Ovis aries: one gene and its partner. The protein of the gene in region 1 purifies or fractionates together with the protein of each later gene. This does not show direct contact. Links are inferred from orthologs where the notes say so. Each region holds a gene or a part of one and is shown on either strand. Other genes may lie near its edges.

Evidence for each region. Proteins that work in one complex are often made in the same cells at the same time.
Region 2: the proteins of SLC7A11 (region 1) and CD44 purify together in Homo sapiens (affinity purification with western blotting; 3 studies listed by BioGRID and IntAct, with this or other methods). This does not show direct contact. The link is inferred for Ovis aries from reciprocal best matches to the Homo sapiens genes SLC7A11 and CD44.

What each region holds. Positions count from the first base shown.
Region 1 is NC_056070.1:19,478,628-19,482,138, reverse strand, and holds part of SLC7A11 (cystine/glutamate transporter), read right to left. Parts: intron 709-3,511; coding exon 593-708; intron 1-592. UniProt on the Homo sapiens protein: Heterodimer with SLC3A2, that functions as an antiporter by mediating the exchange of extracellular anionic L-cystine and intracellular L-glutamate across the cellular plasma membrane.
Region 2 is NC_056068.1:64,456,586-64,460,583, forward strand, and holds the start of CD44 (CD44 antigen), read left to right. Parts: upstream 1-1,197; 5' UTR 1,198-1,323; coding exon 1,324-1,390; intron 1,391-3,998. UniProt on the Homo sapiens protein: Cell-surface receptor that plays a role in cell-cell interactions, cell adhesion and migration, helping them to sense and respond to changes in the tissue microenvironment.

The DNA.
Region 1 (3,511 bases):
ATTTTCCAGGCAAGAGTACTGGAGTGGGTTGCCATTGCCTTCTCTGTTGAGAAATGCCACTAATAATCAAACGTTGGAAGAAGAGTCTAGTGACTGTCAACGGACAGCTAAAATCCGAACAGAGTGGCAGGTGGTAACACTAGAAAATTCATGAACACAACATATACACCCAACACACACACACCATTCCATGAGGGTAAGTGCCTTATACTTCTACATGTTTTTGCTAAGGAAGGATATTTTATAATTCAGAACACCCATTTTAAAATTGGGTTTTCACTTGTAAAAGTCTCTTTTTAGGCACAATCAAGTTACTAATTTACTAACAAGGTGGTTTTGTTTGCCTATTTTAAAAGATTAGCCATCACATCTATTGACCCAATACAAAATAGGCTTGTAATGTTGTATCAGGCATCACTCCAAACCCTTATTCTTTTCTTTATTTTCCAACACAAATCTGGCAAGCAGTTGTAAGCAAGAACACCACCATGTGAGGAGTAGTACCACCATGCAAAAAGTCTCTAGAAATTTTGTCTCCAATAACTTTTGTAGGGACTGTTTTCTTTTTCATATTTATACCTACGATACTCACTTATGCCCACAGCTGTAATGAGCTTGATCGCAAGTTCAGGAATTTCACAGTGAATAAAAAATGGTTCCAGAATATAGCGTCCAAATGCCAGAGATATCACAGCAGTGGCTGCAGGGCTAGAAGAAATGCATATTTAGGTTAACCACAGGAAAAAAAAAAAGTAGCACTTTCACTAACCTTTTCTACCTTGAGGTACTGTTACTCAGCATACGGAACATATTAAATAGAGAAGTCTATGATTTTTCAGAACTCTATATTTGATTCAGTTCAGTCACTCAGCCATGTCTGACTCTTTGTGACCCCACGGACTGCAGCACGCCTGGCTTCCCTGTCCATCACCAACTCCTGGAGCCTCCTCAAACTCATGTCCATCGCATCAGTGATGCCATCCAACCATCTCATACTCTGTTGTCCCCTTCTCCTCCCTCTATCATCCCCTTCTCCTCCCTCTATCAATCTTTCCCAGGTTCTTTACATCAGGTGGCCAAAGAATTGGAGTTTCAGCTTCAGCGCATCCTTCCAATGAATATTCAGGACTGATTTCCTTTAGGATAGATTTGGATCTCCTTGCAGTCCAAAGGACTCTCAAGAGTCTACTCCAACACCACAGTTCAAAAGCATCAATTCTTTCTTTATAGTCCAACTCTCACATCTGTACATGACTACTGGAAAAACCGCAGCTTTGACTTGATGGACCTTTGTTGACAAAGTAATGTCTCAGCTTTTTAATATGCTGCCTAGGTTTGTCATAGCTTTTCTTCCAAGGAGCAAGCATTTTTTAATTTCATGACTGCAGTCACCATCTGCAGTGATTTTGGAGCCCAGAAAAATAAAGTCTGTCACTGTTTCATTTCCCCATCTATTTGCCAAGAAGTGATGGGACTGGATGCCATGATCTTAGTTTTCTGAAGGTTGAGTTTTTAGCCTATATTTGATTAGGTCATCACAGATATTCCAAATGAAATACTGTCTGCAACTTTGGTAGCTAGTTTTTAAACTTCACATCTGCTTAGGAACAAGGCTGAGTGCTGTCAGTTTTTCTTCTTTCCTCCCATATTTAACTTTTTGCTTAAAAATCTAGTTTATTACTTGAGATCCAATAGGGCTGGGCCATACAAGAAGTAGTCTCCTTTCTCAGTAAGTCAACAATTAAACTCCAGCAGAGTAGGGATGAGTTAACAGCACAGTCTAATGGGTTCAGAAAAGGAACACAAAACTCAACTTTAAAAAATTACTATTAATAAATGTTCATTGCAAATATATGCTTACATGCTTGACATTGTATTAGTCTAGATTTTTCCAAACAGAAAAACCTTGAAAAGCCAAATGATTATTCTTAATTCCATAGAAATATTTAGGTGAAAAGTATGTGTTGAGAAACAAAATTAGTCTTGTAATTTTATAAATAGAGAAAACATGAATGAGATAAGAAAATGAAATAAGTTCAGGTATATAGTAAAACAGGTGGCAAATGATTCTATTTTAGCTTTTCAATTTTCTGTTAGAAAATGACACAGGCCTTTCCAGTTTAAATATACTGCATATGAATGCATGTTTGTTAGATACACAGGCAAGTCAATGGAATTATTAAATTTCCCATGCCAAGTCTTCCATTTTAGTTTATCTTCCATCTCATGGTTACTCAACCTCCAGGTCTAACACCTAGATTGTCAGGAAACCAACCACTATTATGTATTCCAACCCTAACCTGCTGGTATTAGAAACCAAGATAGATTTATTTATTTTTAATTGGAGGATAACCGCTTTACAATATTGTATTGGTTTCTGCCATGCATCAATAGGCATACATATGTCCCCTTCTTCTTTTTTTTTTTTTGTCCCCTTCTTCTTGAACCTCCCTCCCAGCTCCCACCCAATCCCAACTCCCCTAGGTTGATACAGAGTACCAGATTTGACCTCCTTGCATCATATAGAAAATTCCCACTGGCTATCTATTTTATCTGTGGTAATGAATATGTTTCAAGGCTACTCTCTCAAATCACCCCACTCTCCTCCTCCCCCATGTCCATAAGTCTGTTCTTTAGGTCTGCATCTCCACTGCTACCCTGCAAATAGATTTATCAGTACCATCTTCCTAGATTCCATTCATATGCGTGAATAGACGATATTTGTTTTTCTCTTTCTGACTTCACTGTGTATAGCAGGCTCTAGGTTCATCCACCTCACTAGCACTGACTCACATGTGTTGTTTTACAGCTGAGCAACGTTCCATCGCATATATGCACCACATCTTCTTTACCCATTCACCTGTCAATGGACCTCTAGGTTGCTTCCATACCCTGGCTATCGTAAACAGTGCTGTGATAAATACTGGGGTGCCTGTGTCTTTTTCAATTATGATATCTTCAGTGTGGATGTGCAGTAGTGAGATTTCTTGATTTTTTTTTCCAAGACAATCTCCTCCTGACCACAACAAGACATTTTTCTAATTATCCATCATTTATAAATTTCTGATGTGTAAATTAAAATCTAATAATGTCATTTTAGTGCTTTCAAAACACAGTCAGAATCCACAAAAATCCTTCAATACAAGGCTCCATCTGGTCAAAACTTTCCCTTCCTCTTCCGTGTGCTTTCTCCCACTAGAAGGATATGGATGCCCTTTGCCTAGAACCCCTGAAACTCACTGACAGTTTCTTATACCTCAGGTCTTAGTTCAATCTTTTTCCCGAGGAAGCTTCTTCAGTCCTCTAATTGCGTTAGATCTCCCAGAGTATTCTCTCTTGTGGAACTTCATAGCCCCCCTTTCACATGTGTATCACAGTAGCAACTTTTCATTCTCTTACACGATGTCTTGATTGATAATTGTTTCCCTCACTTGACCGTGAGCTTCATGAGTATGACTGTGTGCTTATCAATCACTATTTCATCCTCAGTGTGTGGTAAAGCGTCTAGTAA
Region 2 (3,998 bases), on another chromosome or scaffold:
TCTCCTCCCTTTTCTGAGATTTGCTGAGTAGAATAGATTAGGATAGAAAGTGGATTAATATTCATGTAGATAGGAATATAAACGGGACCAAGAAAGAAGGGATCGATGTGTGGGTGGGTGAGAGGAGGGGTAAAATGATGAATGGATATGTAGATGATGGATGGATGGATGGATAGATAATGTGTGAGTACATGTATGAACAGATATGTGGGTATGGATGGATGGAGGGGAGAATAGTATATAGATGGATGTGGCTTTACAAAGAGATGTGAAAAGATTAATAGATGGATGAGAAGTTGTATGGGAGGGTGGTTGGAAGAAGATGTGGTTGATGGATGGGTAGACAGAATGGCTGGACAGGAGGCTGGGTGCATGTCAGTGCATACCGATGGACAGGAGGGTAAATAGATGTGTGAGCCCTGGAGAGACACAAGATAAAATGGGTAGATAGAGGAACCCGTGGGTGTTTGGGAGGATGAGTGAGAGTGTGAGTAAGCCAAGGAGGAATGGATAGACGGAACCAGGTGCCAGCCTGGGACCGGAAGATGATGTACAGGTCAGTAGAGCCAAATACCAGCCCCGTGGCTGGCTACCATTAGCTTTCCCTGAGCAGTCCTGCTAAGAATCAAAAGTCCACCCGAAGCGTGTTAATGAACTCCCTTCTCTTTCAAGGGAAGGTCGACGAGCTCTTCCTCCCTTCCCTGGAAGAATCGCAAGCTCCCGACCATGCGCAGGGGAAAACCACACTTCCACGGTCCCAGCCCCTCTCCCAGAATATCCAGCTGCCTGTGAAACCCACAGAGAAGAGTTCCCCAGCCTGAGTCAAAAGAGAAACTTCGCGGAGGGGAGAGGCCAGAGGCTGAACCCAAAGGGGCGAGGTTTCAGGACTCAGTTATTCCCTCCTGCGTCCAGAGGCTGCGCTCCCAGCCGCCAGGAGAGAAAAGTCGGTGCGTCCTGGGTGCACGGGGACCCCCTCGGCCCTCCGGGGTGCGCGCCCAGACACCCCGCTTTATTATCTCGGGGGAGAACGGGGCGGGGGCGGAGGGGCCAGGGCTAAGGAGAGCTGGTACGTCTTTAAACTTCTGCGGGCTGCTTAGTCACAGCCCCCTCGCTTGGGTGTGTCCTCCCTCGCTCCCTCCCTCTTAGGTCACTCTCAACCCTCGAATAAAAACTGCACCCAACTTCCGAGGCGCCCTCATTGCCAGCCGGACCCCAGCCTCCGACAGGTTCGGGCGCCCTGCTTGCCCCGTGCTTCGCCGGCCCCCGCCCAGCGCCCGGCCCCTCCGGCTCCACTCCGCTCGCTCGGTCGGTCGCTCCGACGCCATGGACACGTTTTGGTGGCGCGCAGCTTGGGGACTCTGCCTCGTGCAGCTGAGCCTGGCGCAGATCGGTGAGTGCCCGCCCGGACGGGAGGGAGTGGCCCGGACCCAGCCGGGCGGGCTCCGTTGGCCCTGGCGGGGTCGGGGTCAAGTGGGCGGCGAGCGGCTGGGATTTGGCGAAGGAGGACCGGGCGAGGATTTGCGCTAAGCTCTTGGAGAGCCTGTCGTTGGGAAGCACCGTTTTGTGGAACGGCAAAAAGAAAGGGCGCAGAAAAGTTTGCTGGGCAGCAGGCTGTTGGCGCGCGGTTTGGGGTGGGGTGGTTGGAGCCGGTGGAGCACAAGGAACTGTACTCCTGGGTGCGCGCAGCCTGTCTGGACTAACACACTCCTGTGCCCAAGGGCACTTCAAGCCAGGCTGCGCAGGGCAGGGACAGGGGCTGGGGTAGGGACAGGGGTGCTAGCGAGGTGGCCATAGAGGTGGGCACTGTTGCCCTCTGTGAGGGTTGGTGGCAACAAGCTTCCCAGAATGGGGTCCCGCGTTCCTGTGGCTCTCCCATTTCACCTAGGTTCCAAAGCTCTTACAGTTGGCTCCAGTCACGAACAATCTTAACGCTTGTGGGAACTTGAACCTTCTCTGTGGCAAGGTTCTGGGTCGCCACGAGGTGCCAGCCTGGGGCAGGGAGTGTGAGTAGGATAGGCAGTGACTCGGCCAGCTGCTCCATCCTGGCAACCTCCTGCAGGCTGCCAATCAGTTAGGGGAAATCCAGACAGTCATGTGGCTCCCAGTGGGTGCCTGGCAGCCTCGGAGCAGGACAGAGAAGCAGGCTCCTGGGTGGCATCAGGGATCCCGGCGCCTGTATCCCATCCCCACAGGGTCCGTTCTTCTCAGGGGCTGTCGAGGGGGTGGCTGCGTGTGAGGTATTCTGGCAAGGCTGAACTCCAAGCATTCCTTTTCTTTGTCTTTATATGTGCAGATAATTACATGGCTGATTTGCTTATCGCTAGCAAAATTAATTTTTCTTTTAAGAAGTGCCAGCTGGGTCATTAAGACAGCTCAACCTATGGTTAATTCTACTCAGCAAGTGTTTATTAAACCCAGCTCTGGGGGTACCAGGAAAGTAAGAGACACAGTCCTACCGGGGTACTTTAGACTGAGAGGATAAGTGAGGGTCTAGGATTTAGATTCCTGAATCAGAAAAGTAATAATTAATAATAATAATTAACAGTAATCATAATGGCAGCACCAGCCACCATTTATTATACATTTGGGCTGGGCCAGGCACTGTGCTAAATTCTTTACACGCGTTATCTCGTTTTACCCTCAACAATGGCCCACTGAGAAGTGTCCTGTCGTTAGCCCCGTTTTGCAGGAGGGCAGCAAACCGAAGCTCAGAGAGCTTAAGTGACTTGTCTGTGTTCACACAGTCAGAAGACTGCTGGTTCTGTGAACCAAGCTTCTTTGCCTGTTGCTTGGTTAGCACTGGTTAAGCTGCATGTATGATATGGACAAACAGCAGCGTGATATGGACAAACTCAGAAAGGATTTTATGAAGGAGGTGGTGGACCAGAGGCTTTAGAGGAGGCTTTCAAAGGGGAACTGGAGCTCCAGGGATCTCTTGAAAGGCAGAGAGACTTGGGATGGGAGAGAGCAGGGAAAGATTTCAGGGAGAGCTGTGAGCCTGGCCTCAGGGAAGAGGAACCAGGCTGGTGTCTCTCTCTGTCTCTCTCTGTCTCTCTCTGTCTCTCTCTCTCTCTCTCTCTCTCTCTCTCTCTCTCTCTCGCCTATAAGGAAGTCCATTTGTATGTTACCTCCCTGGGGCATCTTCTGCTTTGCTTCTGAGGATTTCGACTCCTGACTCCTTCCATCCTGTAGCGCAAATTCTTCTAAAGGGCCCCATCCCCTGATATTTGGCACTGTCCTGACCCTTGAAGTTCCTCCCTTCCCCCCAGATGGGCAGGCTTACTCCTGCTCTGGGTTTCCGTGGTCCCTTTGGGGAGCGTCATTTGGAGGAAGCGCAAAAAAATGCCAGTAGCGATAGCTGCCTGGGCCCAGGCTTTCATGCACTTGTTAAGCTCTTTGGAAGGAACTGAGACTTGGGAAGGAGATGTGAGTTAACAGTGGGCTCGGGCTGGGCTGGCAGAGAGAGGAAGGACAAAGAGGAGGCGGGAAGACTCTTCTGGTGCCCCACCAGCGAAGGTGGTGGGCTCCAGAGGACAATGTGGACATTTCAGCAAGTGGCAAGGCTTTGGGGAGGAAGAAAGGGTCTGATCTTCATACTGAAAAGCAAGAAGTAGAGACATAGCCAAATACAATTAAGCAGCGTTGGACCCAAACTCTAAGTTGGAGAACAGATCTGTTGAACTACATTTCACACGTGGAAGGACGAAAGTAACCCTGGATAAAGAGCAGTGAAGTGAGCCCTCTATACCTGCCTGCCTCCTGTCCTCTGTGGGTGAGAGGTCCTTGCTAGAGAATTGTGCCCCTGGTGTTTAGAAAGAGGGGTGCAGCTAAGAGCTCTGGGGCTTTGGGGGTGGCTGGCACCCTTCTGATCCCTCTGAGCCTTAGAGACCCCTCTTTCTGGGAGTTAGACTTTTGGCTGTGTTTTCCCAGGAGAAGCAGCAACGAAGCCAACCTCCATTCCCGCTGAGGTTGGTTAGCATCAGTTAATTCAGTTGTTC